Stegostoma tigrinum: one gene and its partners. The protein of the gene in region 2 interacts with the protein of the main gene of each other region in a pairwise test. Links are inferred from orthologs where the notes say so. Each region holds a gene or a part of one and is shown on either strand. Other genes may lie near its edges.

What was found.
Region 1: the proteins of ral guanine nucleotide dissociation stimulator-like (region 2) and rap1aa interact in a two-hybrid assay, tested with the Homo sapiens proteins (3 studies listed by BioGRID and IntAct). The link is inferred for Stegostoma tigrinum from reciprocal best matches to the Homo sapiens genes RALGDS and RAP1A.
Region 3: the proteins of ral guanine nucleotide dissociation stimulator-like (region 2) and ras-related protein Rap-1b interact in binary tests that used the Homo sapiens proteins (3 or more experiments, as listed by UniProt). The link is inferred for Stegostoma tigrinum from reciprocal best matches to the Homo sapiens genes RALGDS and RAP1B.

Annotation. Positions count from the first base shown.
Region 1 is NC_081374.1:5,400,383-5,407,482, forward strand, and holds the start of rap1aa (RAP1A, member of RAS oncogene family a), read left to right. Parts: upstream 1-4,054; 5' UTR 4,055-4,165; intron 4,166-7,100. UniProt on the Homo sapiens protein: Counteracts the mitogenic function of Ras, at least partly because it can interact with Ras GAPs and RAF in a competitive manner. Together with ITGB1BP1, regulates KRIT1 localization to microtubules and membranes.
Region 2 is NC_081382.1:36,461,552-36,469,631, forward strand, and holds the start of ral guanine nucleotide dissociation stimulator-like, read left to right. Parts: upstream 1-5,078; 5' UTR 5,079-5,313; coding exon 5,314-5,496; intron 5,497-8,080. UniProt on the Homo sapiens protein: Functions as a guanine nucleotide exchange factor (GEF) activating either RalA or RalB GTPases and plays an important role in intracellular transport. Interacts and acts as an effector molecule for R-Ras, H-Ras, K-Ras, and Rap.
Region 3 is NC_081371.1:37,393,314-37,400,931, reverse strand, and holds the start of ras-related protein Rap-1b, read left to right. Parts: upstream 1-4,592; 5' UTR 4,593-4,725; intron 4,726-7,618. UniProt on the Homo sapiens protein: GTP-binding protein that possesses intrinsic GTPase activity. Contributes to the polarizing activity of KRIT1 and CDH5 in the establishment and maintenance of correct endothelial cell polarity and vascular lumen.

The DNA of each region.
Region 1 (7,100 bases), on a different chromosome or scaffold from region 2:
GATTATCTGTCTGTCACTATGTAAACTAGTTTAACATCAGGAGCCAGATCAATCATGTAAGTGTGAACATGCTGTGCTGTTTTGGAGGCTGGTGATTGTGCAAAGTGTTGACTTAAAGTCAGCTCTCATCCCTGATATCAGCCGGTAGATGCAGTCAATCCAATTCAGTGTGTGCTTTTTGGTGGCCAAGCCTGAGCGATCCAGCAACATGCAGCAGGTTGAGGGCAGTGCAAGATATTTTATAAAGGGTTCTGTTGTCTTCAGTGTGTAACATAATGTGGGCATCCATCGGATGTACATCAGCATCACTGGGTGAATGACTGTGTGTGTGTGTGTGTGTGTGTGTGTGTGTGTGTGTGTGTGTGTGTGTGTGTGTGTGTGTGTGTGTATTATTGCCTTTTATTGACTAATTTGCATGTTTCAGAATTAGGATGATTTCAGCGTTACAGGGTCTTTCAGTTGCAGTAGTGTAAGAGAATTGAGAGATGTATCATTGCTGACGGTATATCAGCATTGGAAATGTATTAGCGTTGAGTTGGCCCAGTGTTTTATGGTTTGGGGCATACCAGTGGGAAGGTTCATTCAGTGGGAAGATATATCATTGTTTGAGGTTTACCAGTGATATGGGGATTATCAGTGTTCTGGGGTGTCTCAGTGTTTTATTGCAGGGATGTATCAGTGTCTCAGACAGAATGGCAATGGATGGGGCTCAAGGCATAAGCAAGATGAAGATTCTGCTAGGACTAAGACTAAATAAAAGCAAGTAACCATATTCTACTTGGTTAAGGTGAGTCTGGGAAGCTCAGGCCCATGATTTACACATCTCGCAATCTGTGCAAAATCCTACCTCCTCTTGGAGATCAGGATGACCTTGTGCAGAGGTCCCTCCAGCAGGAGCAACTCAAACTCTGAAGTTTGGAGCTTGTGCAGCTGCTGGGGCACAACGGTGTATTGATGAAGGGCTGAGAGGTTGGTGGACAGCACAAACATCGCCAACCCACAGATTAAAGATACGTAGAGAATGGGAATGGGGAACTCCAGTCAGAAGCTCCAGGTAGGTTGTGAGGGAATCATCCAAGTACATTCTATTTGCAAAATGCTGTTCAGTCCTGCAAATTAGTGAGAATGACGGTTCCTCTGTTGAGGCCTGTCAGAGCCAAGGCGTGGGTGGGGTAGGGGAGGGTGGAGTGGGGAAAGGCAATAGTGGGAGGGGATTTATTAGTTTCATAAAGGATTTTAATGAACCAATTATTAAGTGGTAATGGGAACTGCAGATGCTGGAGAATCCAAGATAATAAAATGTGAGGCTGGATGAACACAGCAGGCCCAGCAGCATCTCAGGAGCACAAAAGCTTTTGTGCTCCTGAGATGCTGCTGGGCCTGCTGTGTTCATCCAGCCTCACAATTATTAAGTGGGATAGTTTTAGTGTTCAAGGCAGAGAGGGAACAAAATTCTTAAATTGTATCAAGGGGCACTTTTTTTAAACTGGTGCAATGGAACCCAATAAGGAAAGGCCTTGATATCGTGGGCGCAGGTGGAAGGTGTATCAGTTAGGGGGATCTTTCAGAAATAGTGACCATAACTTAGTTACATGTAGGATGGTAATGGAAAAGGATAAGGATGGGCTAAGAAGGAAACCTATAACCTGGTTAAGGCTAAGTTTACTAAGATAAGACATAACTTGGCCCAAGTAGTCTCAGAACACCTACTTGCAGATAAATCTATCAAAGCAGTGGAAGATATTCAAGGGGGGAGCAGGAGTACGGGGAAAATATGTTTCTGTAAAGAGAAAGTGTAGGAGTAAAACAGCAGAGCTGTGGATGTGAGGAGTCATAAAGTTTAGGATTGAGAAGAAAGGAGAAGTTTATGTCAGATACCCAAGGCTCAGTACAGCAGAGTACCTAGACGATACAAAAAGTGCACGGGGTAATCTTCATCTTAAATGAGGACAGCAAGCAGAGTTAATGAGAAAATAGAATAAAGGAAAACCCAAATGATTAAAAAAAATATATATATAAAGAGCAAAAATAGGAGAATCTTGGGTAATTGGGAAAACACAAGGAAGTGCACCTGTGGAATGTTGGACTAATCAAGAGCTGTTTAAATTGTGGAGGAGGCCTGAGGGGCTGAATGGCCTATTCCTGTTCCTGTTTTTTATTGTATTATGGAAAGTAAATAGGTAAAGATATGGTCCATTAGGAATCATAGAGGAAATGTGTGTGTGGATCTGGGAGATATGGGCCCAGTTCTCAGTAAATGTTTTGCATCAGTCTTTACAGTGGAAAAGAATGATGCAGGTATAGACATCAAAGTGGACGATTATGAAATATTAGAAGAAATTAACATTTAGAGAAAGGAAGTACTGGTGGCTTTAGTAGCTTTACGAATAGATACATTCACAAACCTGTTTGAAACATATCCCAGGCTGTTAAGGGTTCAAAGGGAGCAGATATCAGCTCACTGATGAAGGGTCTAGGCCCAAAACATCAGCTTTTGTGCTCCTGAGATGCTGCTTGGCCTGCTGTGTTCATCCAGCTCCACACTTTGTTATCTCGGATTCTCCAGCATCTGCAGCTCCCATTATCTCAGATATCGGGAGCCCTGAGAGTAATTTTCAAATCCTTGCTGGCCATAGGTGAGGTGCCAGAGGACTGGAGCACTACGAACATTGTCCCGTTACAGAAAAGGGAGGAAAGGACAGATTAGGAAACTACAGGACAGTCAGTCTCACCTCAGTGGTGGGGAAGTTATTAGAAAGAATTGTGAGGGACAGAACAAATCCGCACTTAGACAGACATGGATTAATCAGGGATAGTCAACATGGATCCGTTAAGGGAACGTTATGTTTGACGAGTTTAATTGAATTTTTTGAGGTGATAACCATGAGGGTCGATGAGGGTAATGTATTTGATATGGTCTACTTGGACTTTTACAAGACTTTTGAAAAAGTCCCTCATGGGAAACATATCAAGAAAGTAAGACCCCATGGGATCCAAGCCAAAGTGACACATTGGGCTGAAAATCAGCCACAAATTAGGAAGCAGAGGGCAATGGTAGAGGGATGTTTCTCTGACTGTGACTTCCAGTGGGCTTCCACAGGATTTGATGCTGGGGCATTTGCTGTTTGTATATTAACAATTTGGATTAATGATCAAGAAGTTTTAAAATGAAAGTTATGAAGGTGGTAAACAGTTTAAGGTGAGAGGGGAAGGATCTAAACTGGACCTAAAGGACAACCTTTTTCACTCAGAGGGTGGATTTTGGCTCCCTTGTCCTTTGTATGAAATGAGCTGCCAGCAGAAGTTGTGGAGGTTTTTACAGTTACAGCATTTAAAGGACATCTGGCAGGTATATGAATTAGAAGGGTTTAGAGGGATAGAGACCAAATGCTGGCAAATGGGCCTAGATTAATTTAGAAAAACTGGTCAGCATAGACAAATTGGACCAAAGGATCTGTTTCAGTGCTGCACAACTCATGACTCTATGACTCATCTCCTCCAGGAAAATGGTATTAGTACAGTCGGAGACAATAGGAACTGCAGATGCTGGAGAATCCGAGATAACATGGTGTAAGAGCTGGATGAACACATCAGGCCAGAATTTCTGATGAAAGGTCTAGGCCCAGCCTTCTGCTCCTATGATGCTGCTTGGCCTGCTGTGTTCATCCAGCTCTACACCTTGTTATCTCAGTGTAGTCGGATGTTTTTTGACGAGTGCAGACACGAGGGGCTGAACGGTCCTCTGTTTGTGAGTGTCTGGTGGTCTATAAGAGAGAGGTGTCTCAGTGTTTTGGGGGCCATCTGTCGGAGCGATTTCAGTATTTTGGGTGGTGCCGTGGCACTTCGGGGTGCCTCAACATCTGGCGGGGGCGGTCACATCGCAGCTTCTTTGGGATCCCTGGTACCTTCTGCTCTTCTCAGCATTACTTGCGCGGCGTGCGCCGGCGGTGGGTCCACAGTAGGGGTAGCCTGGGGGCGGGGGGGAGAAGAGCGGGTCGTTGCCGCTTTAAAAGGTGTTTCCCTTTTAAGGCGCTCAGAGCGAGGCTGCCGGTGACGTTGTTGTGTTGTGTGTGCGTCTGCGCGCGCTGAGGTGGGTAGGAGCTCGAGCGGTTTCAGGCGGAGCGACAGCGGCGGAAGGGAGCGGGACGGAACCGAACCGGCAGCGGTGAGGGAGAAGACCGTCGTGTGGGGTGGGGATGGCGGGTAGAGGATTGAGGGAGGAGGGATGGGGGGGGGGGTAACTGAGGGGGTAGTGAGGGTGTGGGGCCCACTGGGAGGTTTTGAGTGAAGGGAGTTTGTGTTTATTTTATGGGGGGCGGAGATGACTGAGGCAATGGGGAGCGGCCGTTTCCAGGAGAGGCCGACGCCGCTCCTGGGCCCGTCCCTAGCCGCCGGCCCTTGCGGTTCAGGGCGGGAAGCAATGCGGAGCCTCCAAGTACCCTTCGCCACTCGGTAGTGGGTGCGTGCAGTTAGGGCTTCCTCTTTTCCCCCGCCCTGGGCCTGCCAACTAGGCCCCTCATCCCCCGGGGTGAGTATACCTCGGCTGGAGCTGAGGGCCCATCCCTGCTGCGGCTGTGTCAGGCGGCAGCACCAACAGCGTTACAGATCCCTGCGAAAACCTGTTCAATTTCCATATAGAGACTGAGTAATCAAATGGTAAACCGGTGTCACTTTTTCCCTTGTGCCTGCGTGAAATGTTTTTTAAAAAAAACCAAAGCTGTATACTGTCAGGATGGGGTAACATTGAGCCCAGTGGTGGGTGTTTGATTCCAGCTGATTTCACACTTATATGTTTGGTTGCGTTCAGCTGAAAAGTCAACCCCCCTCCCCCCCACCTTGCTATTTATGAGAAATCCAACTCTCAACTGGGCAGCAGACTTGACAATCCAGTTTTCTTCTCCATTGTAGATCCACACTTCCAGCACTGAGTAGCGTAAATGATTCTTGCACACTAGTCACTGAGAATCCAGCCTGCATGGGTTTCAAAGCAACCTTGTGTAAATTGCCACAGCATGCAAATCTATTTTAGGTGTGACTGGCTGAATGAAGTTGATGATTGACAGCAAATTGTGGAAGTGCATCTCAGTGACACAGTGGAACTTGAGTTAATGTTTGGGAGATAACAAAATGTGAAGCTGTACAAACCCAGCAGGCTAAGCAGCGTCTCAGGAGCACAAAAGCTGATGTTTTGGGCCTAGACCCTCCTTCAGATTAATTTTTGGGAGATCCTGTTTATTGGAACTAATTACTATAAATCTTTTGCATCCATCTGTATTCTCAAGGTTCAGTTCTGTTGCTTTTCACATTGTTTTTTGTCAGTATTTGTTTTTTTAATGTTTTATGCTTTTACACATTCTTTTGAAGCATCTAAAGCACTGGTTTTAATTTCTTGATCGGATTTAGTTAATCTGATGGACCACTTGAATGCAAACCACTACCATTACTGCAGAAATGCATCCAGAGATGTATAGATCTTAACTACCTTTCTCATTATTTATGTAAAGGGAGTTGTGTCCTCAGTAAATTTTGAAGTCTGTATAATCAAATTTTGTTTACTGCCCAGTGAATGTGATGGGAGGTTTCAACTTATATTTCTTGGCGATAGGACATAGACAAATATAAGGTATGAAAACCTGAAGTAGATGGAACCTACAAGGTTAGTAAAATACTGAATCCTTCAGAAATGAATTTGTGACTTGCAAGCATCTGCTTGGCTTGTGTTTTTTCCAAACCCTCCTTTTGATTTCTGATAACCACTGCATTTGGTGCAAGAGTTCTATAAGCTGACTTTCTGACTGATATTCCCCATCGTGTTTATAATATAAAGACTTAGCATGACAGATTGCAGCATTAGATCCTTTAAAGGTGTGGCTTGTCACGAACACTTTCTCTTACCTGTGATAGTTGTTTGATTGGGGAATGACTGAGGCAATGGGGCGTCTCCTTCCTTATTCTGTAATGTTTTTTGATAGAGCGTCTCTGTAGTCCTTTGGAGGACATAGCTTCATTCTTGAGGTGAACAGTGGAATTTTTGAATATTCAAAGGGGAGAGAAAACATGTTCTAACTCTTTTATATTTGGTTGTGTTGTGCAGTATTGTAGGATTTCAGTAAGTGTTATGATGTAAAACTTTTCATTTGGACTTGTGCTTGGACATTATCTGACAACATAAAAATTTTGTCTTTGTGTTCAAGTAACATTGAAGTATTCCCCTTTAGGCTGAAGTACTGATATTGCTGTATTTAACAGCACAATCAAACATTCACTTACATTGTTTTGTCATAATCAATTTTACCTTGCAATAGCGTGCAGGACTCTTGATGTTCTTGCTTTAGTGTTGAGGTCAAATAACTAACAATTTCTGCTTTATGCTAAACTTGTAACGAGATTGAGCTTGTCTTAAGAGTCTGAGCGGAATGTTGGTTTCAAATCTGTTGGAGTTCAAAATTTGTCTTTAGTGGAGGTTAATCAGCACCAGCTCTTTAACTTTTGAAAGTCACCTGGTAATTTTTTTATAATGTTGGCAACACTGCACTGACTAATATAAAAAGATCAAACGTGGTTTGGAGTTGATTTGCTTTCAGCTTCTTAATGTGTAGAAAACTGGGTTGGTCTTGTAGAAGGCAGTCTAGCACTGATAAGTAGCAACTGCAAGGAGTGATGGCTTCTGGTACCCTCCTCCTCCTCCTCCTCCTCCTTCCCCCCCCCCCACCCCCCAAATAATTGAATATGTAAATAGTCACTCTATGAACCAGTCGCTTTTATGTAATTGAAGAGTGCTGTCGCCACACTAGAAGAGTAGCACAAGAAAAGATCTACGTCATGTGAAAAAATTCTCAAAAGAAATAGGAAAGCCTTTGACTGCCCTGTGGGAATGTGTGGTTAGACTGTAATCTGTATGTTTTTTAAATCAATTTCTTGCCAGAATTTCATTGCTTTTGCTTGAATTACATTATACATGATATTTACAGTATTGGCAAATTGAGCATGGAACATGCTGGTTGGTGGATACTGGTATTAAACAGAACTGACAATTGTTGGAAGTAGTCCTAATCTGAGAGATGTTTAACACAGAGGGTTTTGTCTTTCTTGTGAAGAGT
Region 2 (8,080 bases):
GTTCTGGTTCGAATGCTGTTCAGAAGGTCAGTGCGGGCCAAGGTCAGTGCGGGCCAAATGGCCTGCTTCCACACAGTAGGGATTCTGTGATTCTAAAGGATGAGAAAATTGGCTTTAATTTCCCCAAGCAAAATGACTAGGCTGGATGGTCTCTCTGGATCCCTGTGTAGTGCAGCTGAGGGCAAATTTCAGGTGACAGCAGAACCAAACCAGGCTTGTGCACTCCAAGTTCTGTTGGGGTGATGCATTGGAGCTGTGTTGACTTGAACCTCTGAGATGCCTTGCTCGGATTCACTGCCATCAATCCTTCTCATTCTGGGTTACCAATGCGATATGGGCAACAAAGCATCCATGAAGTCTTCAGCAGAATATTTCATAAAGGTTTATTACTTTGTACTTACAATGTCTGAGATACATGACGGTTTCCCAAGGGATCAGTTCTTTCCATCCTGCTGGGTAGAGTTTATCTCAGGATATCAGTTAACCCAGCCAGGTACAGGCAGCCTTATATATAAAACAACAACAACAGAAGTTGCTTGAAAAGCTCAGCAGGTCTGGCAGCATCTGTGAAGGAAAAAACAGTTAACGTTTCAGGTTCAGTGACCCTTCTGCAGAGGTAGGATTGTGTGTTGCCCTTCCAGGCTTGCCTATAGGATCATATAGAATCATATAGCTCACAAGGAGGCCATTCACCCCATCTCACCTGGACTGACTACTCAACTGATCCAATTTCCCCTTGATCCTGCAAACAGTTCCTTTTTCAAGGGGGAAGCCACGTGCTGTCTCTGCCTTAGGGCGGCTGGTCAGACACACATAGGTTGTTTTGGATCATTGACCCAGTCAATGAACACGGGGTGGGTTTGTGGAGGTGAAGAGAGAGAGAAGGGGGGTAAAAATACTCACGAACCCCCCCAACACCCCTCCCCCCACAACCAGCCAACCCTACAGTGAATGATAGCTATTTCTCAAGAGCATTGTCACTGCTGTGCTGTCGAAAAAGCAGCAGCCAAGTTGTGCACAGCAAGATCCCACAAGGAACTGAGGGATATTTGACAAATTTGAGGCAATTTTCCCCTACCAGATCTCCTTTCAAAACAGGATCCTGCACACTCATGTGAGCAGGTGATGGAGGCTTTGGTTTTTAAGTCTGCTGAGAGAGTGCGCCTCCCCCCCCCACCGCAGACTCCCTCAGTGTGGCATCTCCGTGCCACCAACTGATTCTATTGTTCTACCCTCTCAAGGAATTATTGCAATATTTATCTCTCCACTAATACCACAAAAACAGGACCAACTGACCTTTTGCCTCACACTGTTCATGGGATCTTGCTGTGCGTAAACTGGCTGCCATGTTTCCTACATTTCAGAATTACCTCATTGGCTGTCAGGTGCTTTACGACATCATCAGGTCATGAAAGACATTATATAAATGCAATTTCTTTATTTACTAGCTTCCTCGTACCACCTCCCAGCTGAGAAAGTGACATTTTATAATCGCAGTTGCTGAGTATATTCAAGAAGCAGCTCGACAAATTCTTGAATATATAGAATGAGGGTCATGCATGAAAATGAAGTTGAAGTCAAAGATCAGTCGTGATTTTGTTGAATTGATGGAACTGGTCCTAAAGGACAAATGACCCACTTCAGCTCCTGTTTATTTAGTTCTTCGGCTTGAAGGGAATGTTGTTCTGGAGCTGACCATAGGGGGCAGCAAAAAGCCCAAAATAACATTGTGCATTTATAAAGCAACCTCATAGCAGACGGATTGAGGATGGAAACTCCATGAACATCACATTCTGTTAACACATCAGGTTTATGTGAGGAAAAGGAAGAGATTCTGAAATGAAATTAAGAGGCTCCCTTTCAGCTTCAGTCATAGAGTCATACAGCATAGCAACAGACCCTCTAATCCAACCAGTCCACGCCAACCATTTTCTCAGACTAAACAAGTCCCACCTGCCTATGCTTGGTGCATACCCCTCCAAACCCTTCCTATAAATTTATCCAAATGTCTTTTAAATGTTGTGTCTGTACCTGCATCCACCACTTCCTCTCGGAGTTCATCCCACACATGAGCTACTCTCTGTGTAAAAATGTTGCCCCTCACATGCTTTATAAATTTTTCTCCTCTTGCCAATAAAAATATGTCCCCTAGTTATGATCTCCCCCACCCTGGGGAAAAGACCCTTGTCATTCACCTTATCTATGCCCGCCGTGATTTTATAAAACTCAGTAAGGTCACCCCTCAACCTCCTATGTACCAATGGAAAAATGTCCCAGCTTATCCAGCCTATCTTTATAACTCAGACCTTCCATTCCCAGCAACATTCTGGTAAACCTTTTCCGAACCCCCTTCAGTTTGATGATATCCTTCCTGTAGCAACCCTCGTAGCTGTCTGTTCCTCAGCACCTCATCAGGCGTCGAGTTTTGTATCTGTCGAGTTTTTTTAAAAACATATTGGTTCTGCTGCTGTCTCCAGACATTTGGCAGCATTTTCACCTGCTTGGCAGATGACACTGGACTGGGTTTGTATCAAGGATGGACTGAAGACGCTAAAGCGACCCTCTGGACTATGCCAGTCAGCATTTGTAGCAATTTTCCAGTACAGAATTGCTTGAAGTACACAGCTCTAGAAACTGTCAAGGAAGCTAGTACAGTTTGGATTCCAGAGTAGTTGGAGCAGCAAATGTTGTCATATTTAAAGTAAAAACAGAACTCTTGCATTAGCATGGAGTTTTTCATAGCTAACAGATGTCCCAAAGTACTTTACAGCCAATTTTTTTTTAAGTGTAGTGTCTGCTGTAATATAGAAAACATGGCAGCTTTTTTGGACCCAGCAAATTCCCATAAAGAGCAATGTAATTAATAATGTAATCACAAAAGGGAGGTGATTGTGTAGTGGTTTCTCCTCATGGATTAATAATCTAGGATTCTAGTCTTAATGCAGAGACAAAAAAAAACTGCAGATGCTGAAATCCAAAGCAGACAAACAGGAGGCTGGAAGAGCACAGTAGCATCTAAAGGAAAGGAGCAGTCAACGTTTCAGGTATTAACCTCATTTAGGCCGGTCCTGAAGAAGGGAAATACCCGAAACATTGACAGCTCCTTCCCTCCAGATTCTTCCTGGCCTGCTGTGCTCTTCCAGCCTCCTGTTTGTCGATCCAAGTCTTAATGTGCTGGTTTAAATCCGATTATGAATTTAAATCCAGTAAAATCTGATCATGTGACTGTTATTATAAAAGCCTGCTTGGTTCACTTTAGGGAAGGAAATCTGCCATCTTTATCTGGCCAGACCCATAAGTGACTCCAGACCAACAGCAGTGTGATTAACATTGATGGGCAATAAATGTGTTAGTGATACCCACATCCATGGAAATATAAAGTGCTTTTGTGATGTTGATTGAGGGATAAATATTGTTCACTGCTCTGGAGTTAAATGCCCTGCCCTTCTTCATGATAATGCCATGGGATCTTTTACATCTCCCTGAGCAAGTAGGTGAGGACTCAGATCCATGTCCTGGCTGAAGACAGCGCTGCCAATAGTGTAGCACTCCCTCAGTGGATTGTTGTACTCAAATACTGGAGTGGGGTTTATTCCCAGGACCCCGTAATTCAGAGGTAAGTGGGCTACCTGCTAAACCAATATTCAACTCCGTGTATATCTAGGCACCTGAGTAACTTCTCTGTGTAATTTACCCTTTATTTGTTTATGGAGCACAGTTGTTGCTGGCAGGGTCAACATTTTATTGCCCTCAAGAAGTTGCCTTCTTAAAACTTTTGCAGTCCCCACAGTGTAGCTGCAGTCACAACAGAACATTAGCCATTCTTTCAAAGGGAATAGAGTATGAAAGTAGAGATAATGGGAACTGCAGATGCTGGAGAATCCAAGATAACAAAGTGTGGAGCTGGATGAACACAGAAGGCCAATGCTGCTGAGATGCTGCTTGGCCTGCTTTGTTCATCCAGCTCCACACTTTGTTACCAGAGTTTGGAGGTAGGGAGGCTTTGCTGAAAGTATACAGGGCACTAGTGAGAACACATCTGAAATTCTGTGAATAATTTTAAGCCCTCTTGCAGGAAAGATGTCATGACATTGGAGACAATCCAGATAGGATTCACTAGGCTTATACCAGGTATGTCTTAAGAGGGGAGGTTGAGTCGCTTGGGTCTGTATTCATTGGAGTTCAGAAGAATAAATGGTAACCTTATTGAAACATACAAAATTCTTACAGGGCTTGTCAGGGTAGACGTGAAGAGATTATATACCCTTATGAGAGAATCTAGGACCAGAGGGCATAATGTCAGAATAAAAGATCACCCATTTAACACAGAAATGAGGAGGAATTTCTTCTCTGAATCAGTGGAGTTCTTTACCATAGAAGGCTGTCGAAGCTGGGGTGTTAAGATAATTCAAGGTTCAGATAGATTTTTAATCAGCAAGGGAATCAAAGGTTACAGCAGGAGAGTGGCGTTTGAGGGAATAGAGGGATATGGATCCTGTAAGTGAAGGCAGTTTTATTACAGAAGGGCAAAATGTATCAGTGCAGGCTTGGAAGCTGAAGGTACTGTTCCTGTGCTGTATTAATGATCAGATTAGCTATGATTTCATTGAATGGTAGAGCAGATGGGCTGAATGGCCTAGTTCTGTACTGAAAACAAAAACAAATTTCTGGAAATCACAGTGGATCAGGCAGCATTCTGTGGAGGGAGAGAGCGCTTCAGATGATTCTGCATCAGAGTTCTGATGCTGCCTACCCTGCTGTGATTCCCAGCTTATTCTTGTTAGTCAGCTAATTGCCAGCATCTGCAGCAATCTGCTGCTGCATCGGGCCGACTTGTTTTCTTGCCTGTGACGATCAGTGCGTCTTTGACGAAGAAACCCACAGGGCTCCATCGAGTGCATGAACTTCGCAGCATCTGCCTTAGTTTCGATGAGGACGGGGTTATGTTTGTGGACTCAATCCAGTCCGGCGCTCTGTGAAACTCCGGTCCGGAGTTGGGAGGTTGCACAGCACTGACATCATGGTCCTGCCTCTCCTGGGCAGGGTGTTATCGCAGTGACTCCCTACCACATCTCATTTCGGGCTGGAAGCCGCGCTGCAGTGTATTTCGGACAGGGGGCCAGGAGATGGAGTCGTGCCTTCCCTTGTAATAAAAGGCTGGGGGCAGCCTAGCGCTGTGGTACAAGCTGTCAGCGCCCCCCCCCCCCCCTCTCCAGCCCCCGGGGCTGGAGAATGTCTCTCTCACCAGCGATTTAAACCAGAAAACTCTGAGTGAGTGAGTGAGAGGGCTCCGAGAGAAACCAGACTTCGCCCATGGTCCGCCTGATGTGGCCGGAGCTGCACAATGAGTGCGCGGCCAGCGGGCACAAGATGTTTGACGGCTCCCGGCGCCTGAAGCAGATCTGGGACGGCGTGAGGCTCGAAGTGACGGGAGATGCCAGCTCTGTGGTTCTGAACAGCTTCACCCAACTGGACCCCGACCTGCCCCTCACCGAGGTACACTTTCTACCCTCCCTCAACCCGCACCCCCCCCCCCACGACCAAAAAAACAAAAACTTTATCACACAAAGATGCTGGAGTGCGAAACAAACAAATCAGAAATTGTTGGAGAAACTCAGCAGGTCTGGCAGTGTCTGTGGGTGAGGAAGGCAGGGTTTAATTGCTGGAGAAGCTCAGCAGGTCTGGCAGTGTCTGTGGGTGAGGAAGGCAGGGTTTAATTGCTGGAGAAGCTCAGCAGGTCTGGCAGTGTCTGTGGGTGAGGAAGGCAGGGTTTAATTGCTGGAGAAGCTCAGCAGGTCTGGCAGTGTCTGTGGGTGAGGAAGGCAGGGTTTAATTGCTGGAGAAGCTCAGCAGGTCTGGCAGTGTCTGTGGGTGAGGAAGGCAGGGTTTAATTGCTGGAGAAGCTCAGCAGGTCTGGCAGTGTCTGTGGGTGAGGAAGGCAGGGTTTAATTGCTGGAGAAGCTCAGTAGGTCTGGCAGCACCTGTGGAGAGAAATCAGTTAAAGTTTTGGGTCCAGTAGATTTGGAACGTTAACTCTGATTTCTCTCCAGAGATCGCTGCAAAAGCTCCGCAGGTCCAGCAGCAATCTCTGTATTTGTATCTGATTTGCTGCATCAGCAGTTCTTTCGGTTTTTAACAGAATTCAATTGCTGGAAAATTTCAGCAAGTCTGGGCAGTGTATAAAGAGAGAGAGAGAGCGAAAGCAGACCTAATGTTTTCTGAGCTCGATGACCCTTTTTCAAGAACTGGAGTCAAAACATTAACCCTGCTTTCTCTCTTCACATGCTGCCAGACCTGCTGGGTTTCTCCAGCATTCTCTGTTTATTTTTGTTTGTTACAGTTCTTTCTTACTTTCTGGTAAGGAAACATCTCGCTTTCTCTCTCACCCAGCTCTGCAGTTGCTATGGAGATGTTACTGATTGCTGCACTGTTTTGCTGATGAGATGATATTTTGCCTGTGGGATATGAGGCATAGTAATAGCACTCTGTTATTGCTGTATGTACCGTCCCATGTTTAACTTTGCCCTCTGTAATCCTGAACGCAGTTGTGTGATTTTAAAATGAATTGCTGTGGGTGCTGGAGAAATCAGACCACAGTCGGAATGCTCACTCCGTTTCTCTGTCCACGGGTGCTGCTGAATTTTTCCAGCACTGTCTGTTTTGTTTATTTTTCATGTTTTGTTTTGAACAAGCACGAGAATGGGGCTTGGGAGGGGTCTAGCAAACACACTGGAGGAACTCAGTGGGTCTGGAGAGAGAGAGAAACAGAGTTAACACTTTGTGTTTTCTTCAGACTGTTCTGGCTGTTTCAAGTTTCCAGTGTCCGCAGTACTTTGCGTTTATTATAAGGGGGTGGGAGTAGTTGTGAGGACATGACCCATATTTGAACCCCCACACAGACACACACGTTACCACTTTGCTCCAGATTGAACATATCATATTCTCAAAAGGGAATGATTCATATACATCAAACACCGTGTGGTGTTATTTTTGCCTCACCTCATAGAATAATTATTTCTGAAGTGCAGGGATTTATACGCATTCTGCAGTAAAAGGAGCTTTTGACCTCTGAGTGTATCGAAATCATAAATCCGTTTATAGGGAAATGTTTTATGGTATTGCAGCAGCATTTACTGTCACCCAGGGCCTCTTCTGACATCTCAGATGATGGGTAGTGAGGAGACAATTAGATCTAACTCGCTCAGCCAGGAGTCCTGCACTGTTGAGCTGAGTGTGGAACTGGCAGCATCTGAGCCAGAGGGTTAGACTTTTAACCTTGATTCACAACTAACACCCGAGATCTCAAACTGTCCTTGAGTGTCTGGGAATGTGTGGGGCGTCTGCACTTTTTTTAAAAAACATATATGGCATGACATATATGGAAACATTCACTGCGGTTTTCTGCCTTTGTACTTAGTGAGGAGAAAAATGCTTCAAAACATAATCTCGTGTTGTCTCCAAATCTCATATGTTGAGTCTGTTGGAGGTTAACATCAGGGCTGCGCATCCTGCAGCCTTAGCCAGTTTTATTTAGTTAATGGCCTTTGAAGATTTCATGGTCTTCTAGGAGCAAAGGAGAACGAATTAGGCTATTCAGCCCCTCAAGCCTGTTCCTCATTCTAGATCCACAGAATCCCTACAGTGCGGAAGCAGGCCATTCGGCCCATCTTGTCCACACTGATCTTTCAAAGAGCTTCCCACACCAGACCCAGATCGTGGCTGATCATCTACCTCAACATCATATTCCTACGATATCCCCATATCTACAGATATAGTTAGTAACCAGAAATTGCCCACCCCTAATTGCCCTCAAACTGAGTCAGAGGTCACATGAAAGTCACCCACATCACTGTGGGTCTGCAGTCACATTAGGCCAGACCAGGTAAGGATGGCAGATTTCCTTCCCTGAAGGACATTAATGAACCAGATGGGTTTATAACAGTAATTGATATCAGTTGTTACAGTCACAACAACTGAGACTAACACTACATTTCACATTTAAACTGAATTTAATACAGTCACTTGTCATTATGGGATGTGAACTCATGTCAGCACAGCATTAGCTTAAGCCTCTGGATTT
Region 3 (7,618 bases), on a different chromosome or scaffold from region 2:
TCTATGTGCTTTGAGAAACATATGGACTTATTAGCGATAGTGAGCATGGTTTTGTGCAGGGGTGGTCATGCCTCACTGATAGATTGAGTTTTTTGGGGAGGTGATGCGGATGATTGATGGGGGCGGAAATCAGTCAATGTTGTCTACAGTAAAGCGTTTGTCAAGGTCCCTCATGGCAGACTAATACACAAGGTGTCATGTGACTTCTGATCTTGTCCACCAAAGTCCAACACCAGCACCAAGTTACATGGTATCAGGGTGAGTTGGCAAGATGGATACAGAACTGGCTTAGTTCTAGGAGATAGAGGGAAACAATGGAAGGATGCTTTTCAGAATGGATGTCTGTGACTAGTTGTGTTCTACAGGGATCAGTGCTATTCACAATCTACATAAATGATTTGGAGGAAAACGTAGGTGGTCTAACTGGTGACTTTGCAGATGATAGAAAGACTGGTGGAGTTGTGGACAGTGAGGAGGATTGTCAGGATATAGATCAGTCATAAGCAAAATGGCAAATGGAGTTTAATCCGGACAAATATGAGGTGATGCATTTTGGAAGGTGAAGCACAGGTAGAAATTATACGGCAAATGGCAGAACCCTTAGAAGTATTGATATGCAGAGGGATCTGGGTGTGCAGGTCCAGGAATCACTGAAGGTAGCAGCATAGGTAGTAAAAAAGGCTTATGGCATGCTTGCCTTCATTGGAAGGAGCATTGAGTAAAAGAATAGATATGTTATGCTGTAGTTCTATAGAACTTTAGTTGGTCCACACTTGGAGTATTGCATACAGTTCCAGTCACCACACTACCAGAACGATGTAAATAATTTGAGGGTACAGAAAAGGTTTACTAGGATATTGCCAGCCATGTAGAAAGGTTAAATAGACTGGATTTGTTTTCACTGCAATGCAGGAGGTTGAGCGGCAATCTAATAGAAGTTTATAAGATTGTAAATGGTATGGATAGAGTGGAAAGTATGAGGCATTTTCCTGGGATGGATGGGTCAGTTACTAGGGGATACATGTTCTAGGTGTAAAGAGGGAAGTTTAAGAGATGTGTGAGGCACATTTTTACAAAAAAGGTGGAGTGCCTGGAACATGCTGCCAGAGGAAATGGTGGAAGCAGGCACAATAGCAGCAAGAAGTACCTGGATGAATACATGAATAGGAAGGGAATAAAGGGATATAAATCCTTTAAGACAGTTTCAGTGTGAAAGGGCAAAATATGGTGATACAGGATTGGAGGGCTGAAGGGCTTGTTCCTGGCCCGTATTGTTCTTTGTTCTTTGAATCGTGGTTGACAATTAAACATCAACAGTAGGAGAGGCTGGACAAATATCCTATCCTCGAGTACAAGGAAGTATAGTTCATCAGTGCAAAAGAAACAGTTGAAGGCATGGAATACTGCAAAATCTATGCACGCCTTCAACATTATTGGAATAGTATGGAAGACTTTTGTTCCAGTCCTAGACATTCCCCTAGCCAAGCTGTTCCCATATAGCCACATGGCAATGTAGAAAACTGTTCAGGTAAGCCCTGACCACAGAAGGCGAGACAAATTTAACCTGGCCAGTTACTGCTTAATCCTCCACTCATGGACCTCAGCAAAGTGATTGAAGGAGTCATCATCATATTCAAGGAGGTACTTGCAAAGGAATAACCTGATGTTCAGATCACGTTCCACCAGGGCCAGTCAAATCGTGACCTCATTACAGCCTTGAGCAAAAATGAACAAAAGAGCTGAACTCCAGAGGTGAGATAAAAGTGAATGCCCTTGACATCATTTGAGAAAGAATGGCATCAAAAAGCCATAACAAAACTGGAGTCATTGAGAATCCTGGGGAATCTCTTAGGTGATTCGAGTAATCGCTAGCATAAAGAAAGATACTTGTGATTAATGGAGACCAATCATGTCAGAGCTCCTAAGAGTCATGTTTGAGGCCCTAACCATCAGCCGATACTTCAGCAACCATCCCTCCATCATTAGATTAAAAATGGGGATGTTCATTGGTGAATTGACAATGCTCAGCACTTATTGCAACTCGTCAGATACTGAAGCAATCAATCTGCACTGAGCACAATCTTCACCTGAGAAAACAGAATAGACTGGTTTTCACAGGGAATAGCTCAGTAAAAGCCTTAAAAACACAGGTCAAGTTACATACAGCTGTTCTGAGGAAGGGTCACCGGACAAGAAATATTAACTCTGTTTTTTTCCTTCACAGATGCTGCCAGACCTGCTGAGCTTTTCCAGCAACTTTGTTTTTGTTCCTGATATACAGCATTTGCAGTTCTTTTGGTTTTTACATACAGCTCAAATTTTGTATTATAACTGTAGCCCAAAACAAATGTTAATAATTACAGGAATGGACATGAGTGTGCGATCTCCTTTTAAAAATGTAAATTCCTCTACATATGCATTTGGAGTCTGTTCATTTATGCTCAGAATTTTTGATGAAAATGCTGGAAGCTTGAAGAGAGGGATGGACAGTCGGAGAGATAGAGGGAAGTGCAGTTTGAAGAGATGGAATTTGAAGAAAGGGATGGATGAAGCATGGGATAGAGGGAAGTAGCGCTTGAAGAGATGTATGGACAGATAGAACGATGGAGAAAAGTACACTTTGAAGAGAAGAATAGACAGGGAAATAGACGGAGGGAAGTGAAGTTTGAAGAAATGAAAGGACAGAGAGATATGGAGGGATATGAAGTTGGAAGAGACTGATGGACAGATAGAAGAATGGAATGATAGATGTGAAGTTTGAAGAAAAGGATAGACAGTGAGAGGGATAGAGGGAAATGCTGTTTGTAGAGGGATGGGCAGAGAGATGGATGGACAAATATAGGCGCAGAGGGAAGTACGGTTTGATGAGAGCAATGGACAGCGACAGTGTTGGAGGGAAGTAAAGTTTTAAGTAAGGGATGGATAGAGACAGATGGAGGAAAGTACAGTTTGAAGAGAGAGAGAGAGAGAGAGACAGATGGAGAGAAGTGTAGTTGGAAGAGAGGGACGGACCGAGCGAGGGATGGAACAAGCACGCAGTATGGGGAGAGAGGGGGATGGACAGGAGTGAAGTTTTAAGGGAGATAAGGACAGACAGAGTGAGATGGGAAAGTGGAGTTTGAAGAGAAGAATGGAAGTAGAGAGAGAGATAGAGGAGAGTGCAGTCAGAGGAAAAGAGTGGACAGAAGGAAAGGATTAGGGAGGGATGTGCAATTTTGAAGAAAGCATTGGAACGAGAGATAGATGCAGAGAAGTGATGGTAGGAGCTGCTGATGGTAGAGTATGAGTTAACAAGGTGTAGAGCTGGATGAAGACAGCAGGCCAGGCAGCATCAGAGGAGCAGGAGAAGGAAATTTTAAAATAAAAAGAGATGGACAGAGAGAAGTATGGAGGGCAGTGCAGCTTTAGGAGAGGAACGGACAGACAGAGGTACAGAGGTGTGCAGTCTGCAGAAAAAGATGGATAGAAGGACGGATGGAGGGAAGTGCAGTTTGAAGAGTGGGATGGACAGAGAGTGAAGAATGGAGGAAAGTAGTCTGTAGTGAAGGGTGGATAGAGGGAGGAATGGATGGGAATGCAGTTTGAACAGAGGGAGGGATAGAGAGAAGTGCAGTTTGAACAGAGGGATGGAGAAAGAGAGCGATGGAGGGAAGTGCAGTTTGAACAGAAGGATGGATAGAGAGAGGGCTGGAGGAAAGCGCAGTTTGAACAGAGGGAGGGATAGATAGAGAGAAGCGCAGTTTGAACGGATGGGGGGATGGGGGGGATGGGGGGATGGGGGGATGGGGGGATGGGGGGAGTGCAGTTTGAACAGGGGGGGGATGGGGGGGAGTGCAGTTTGAACGGGGGGGGGATGGAGGGGAGTGCAGTTTGAACGGGGGGGATGGGGGGGGAGTGCAGTTTGAACGGGGGGGATGGGGGGGGAGTGCAGTTTGAACGGGGGGGGATGGGGGGGAGTGCAGTTTGAACGGGGGGGGATGGGGGGGAGTGCAGTTTGAACGGGGGGGGATGGGGGGGAGTGCAGTTTGAACGGGGGGGGGATGGAGGGGAGTGCAGTTTGAACGGGGGGGGGATGGAGGGGAGTGCAGTTTGAACGGGGGGGGGATGGAGGGGAGTGCAGTTTGAACGGGGGGGGATGGAGGGGAGTGCAGTTTGAACGGGGGGGGGATGGAGGGGAGTGCAGTTTGAACGGGGGGGATGGAGGGGAGTGCAGTTTGAACGGGGGGGATGGAGGGGAGTGCAGTTTGAACAGGGGGGGGATGGAGGGGAGTGCAGTTTGAACGGGGGGGGATGGAGGGGAGTGCAGTTTGAACAGAGGCGGGGGGGATGGAGGGGAGTGCAGTTTGAACGGGGGGGTGGATGGAGGGGAGTGCAGTTTGAACAGGGGGGGTGGATGGAGGGGAGTGCAGTTTGAACAGGGGGGGTGGAGGGGAGTGCAGTTTGAACGGGGGGGGGATGGAGGGGAGTGCAGTTTGAACGGGGGGGGGGATGGAGGGGAGTGCAGTTTGAACAGAGGGGAGGATAGAAGTGCAGTTTGAACAGAGGGAGGGATGGAAATGCAGTTCGAGCAGTGATGGACAGAGACGGTGGGAGAGCGCCTGCGCCTGACGTCAGGGGAGCCTGTGTACGGCTGCCGACGGAATCGGGAGCGGAGGCGGCTTCAGAGTGACCGCCGGCCGCAGTATCGCAGCGAGAGATAGCGACAGCGATCCCTCTCTCCGCCAGGTGAGTGAGAACACGGCGATGCGGTAGCGGCCGATGGCGGAAAAGCCCGGTTTAAGAGTCCGGGGCCTGTGATGAGGTGGGACGGGGAATGATTGAGGTGACCGAGGGTGGGTGGGTAGGTTGGTTGTGAGAGACTGAGGTCGGGGATGGGCCCTGGCCGGGCGGAGCGGGGCAGGGCGTCGGCCCGGAGTTTGCGGACGAGGATAGACGGTCCAGGAGACGAGCTGCGGCCGCTGCCTATAAGATGGCGGAGCGCTTTCTGCTCGAGGCGGCGGCGACGGCTCCTCTCCCGGTGCTTGTGCCGCCGGACATCCCTTTTGCTGGGCCCCGATCTGCGGAGGATGGAGAGAGAGGACTGAGATCGACCGGCGTCCATCAACCCTGTGACCGTCCCTCCTGGGGCCACGACCACCGTCTACCCCCGGGGCCGGGGCCACGACCACTGCCCCCCTCTCGGGGCCAAGGCCGAGACCCACCCCCACCCCCGGGACTGTATTGAAGTTCGATAGCGGAAATGAAAACTTGTGGTTCATTAATTCATTGAGATGTTCCGGACTCTTCGGAGAAACCGGCTTTTTATTCAAAATTAATGTTTCCCTTCTACTATTCGGTTCCATTCCCCCTCCGGATATTGTTTATTAGATACTGTTGTTGACTCTAATTGATAGTGTATATTGTTGAAGTTAAAGTAAAACAGGAGCCCCACCTTAGTGGGAAAGTATCCCCTGAGGCAGGCAGGGCGGATGCTGCTGGTTCACAGGCGTTCTGCACTGTTTCATGCAAGTATTCACCGAAATGTTCAGTCGCGTCCCAACTCGAATGCTGAAATATTAATTATTTAGCACTATTTTAGCTCCTCGGTCCTTTTGAAATAGGCTGCACTCGTAATCGGATACTTCTGCAACAAACTTGAACCCCCCCCAAAAAAGGAAGTTCTTTGCCGAAAGCTTGTTATTTTTAAGCGTGCCTATATTTGCGTGCGTGTGTTGGGGTGGAACTGAGTGTTTAGTGTTGAGGTTTTTTTTTGTTGTACACGAATACTCAAATGTATTGGAAAGGTTTGGAAAACTTTGCATAGGTGTCCTTTTATTTTGTTAGAGCTTACCGAGTTAGTTAATCAAAATGTAGCGCTCTTCTTCTGACCGGAGAACGAAAGGAAGTTTTGCCAAACTTACTATGTATGTTGAAAATGGCAGGAAGCGATCTCTCAAATATTTAAGTCAGGAGATGAAAGCATGACAAGTTGTATACTTCCTGTGTGAATAATATGACAGCCAAGAGGGATCAACAGTTTTAAGTTTAGACTTTATTTACGCTGACCACCTTGGAAAGCGCTGGAACACGTACTTAGATAACAAGGTATAGAACTGGATGGACACAGCAGGCCAAGCAGCATCAGAAGAGCAGGAAAGCTGACGTTTCGGGTCTGGACCTTCTTCCAGCATCAGCAGTACCTACAATCTCTGAAACACTGCTTAGTTTCTTTGAGGACTGTAACATCTCAACATTGGGGTAATAGCAAACAAAAATTCTTGAATTTGTGGGGAGTTTGTGAATTTGGTAGCTGACGTAACTATCAGTAATGGTCTAATTAAAATTGAAAATGCTGGGATTTAGAAACATTGGAGCAGATTGTACGGTTTTCACATTAGAAAAGCAGCGGGTTATGAACACGCTCGGATTTGAAAACAAGCTGAGAATTTTAAAATTGAGGCATTGCTTGACCAGGAGCTAATGTAAGTAACTGAGGGGAAAAAAAATTCAGAATAGGCAATACATGTTAATTTTTCCCATAACAAGCATCACATCCTGTAAGAGTTTTAAGAAGATAAATATAAATTTATGTAAATTAGGACAGTAATGAATAGTCTCGATTATGGAAGATAGGCTAAGCTGGGTGATGTCTTGGAGGTGGAAATAGGCTTTTGGGATGGTGGCAATCTATAGTTGGGACTTATCTCTGTCAAATGTGACATAAAAATGGAGAACAATCTGCTCAGCCTCAGTAACTAGGGTGAGCGACAGAATTTGGCTGCGTATTTTTTTATTCATTCATGGGAAGTGGCATTGCTGGCTGAACAGTATTTATTGCCCATCTTTAGTTGCCCATAAGAATGTAGTGGTGAGCCTGATAGGTCTACAATACCATTAGGGAAGGAATTCCAGGATTTTGACCCACTTTTGGTGTCTGTCTCCTCACACTTAATAGAACAAAATTCATAGTAATGTGAGATAAGGTGTAGAGCTGGATGAACGCAGCAGGCCAGGCAGCATCAGAGAAGCAGGAAGGCTGATGTTTCAGGTCAGGACCCGTGCCAATTATTGTACATTTGCAAAAGTTGGCTCTAAGATTATTCTTAAATGGAACAATAAGAAGCAAGGTGTGAAGGATTACTCCATTGGAAAAATCGGAAGTTGAGAAATATGCAAAGACTCAACAAAGGGATATAGATTAAGCAAGTGTGCAAAAAATTTAGTTGATGAAGTATAATGTGGAAAATGTGAGCTTGTCCATTTTGGCAGGAAGGATGGGGGGTGAAATAAAGACTGTTCAAACGGAAGAATGCTCTGGTACAGAAAAAATTGTATGGCTCAATGGATGAATCACCAAAAAAAATTGCAGATACAGAAATTAGGAAGCAAAATTGAATGTTGGCCTTTGATTGCAAGATGGATTGAGTTTAAAAAATAGGGAAATCTTGCTACAGTTGCACTGGGCGTTGGTGAGAGTACATCTAGACTTTCAACAGTTTCATTCTCCTTTATAGAGTAGCATTGGAAGTAGGTCAGAGAAGTTTTAATTCTTAGAATGAAGGGATTGTTTTATGAGGCAAGATTGAGCAAGTTTGGTCTTACTCATTGGAATTTCAAGGTATGAGAAATGATCTTTTTG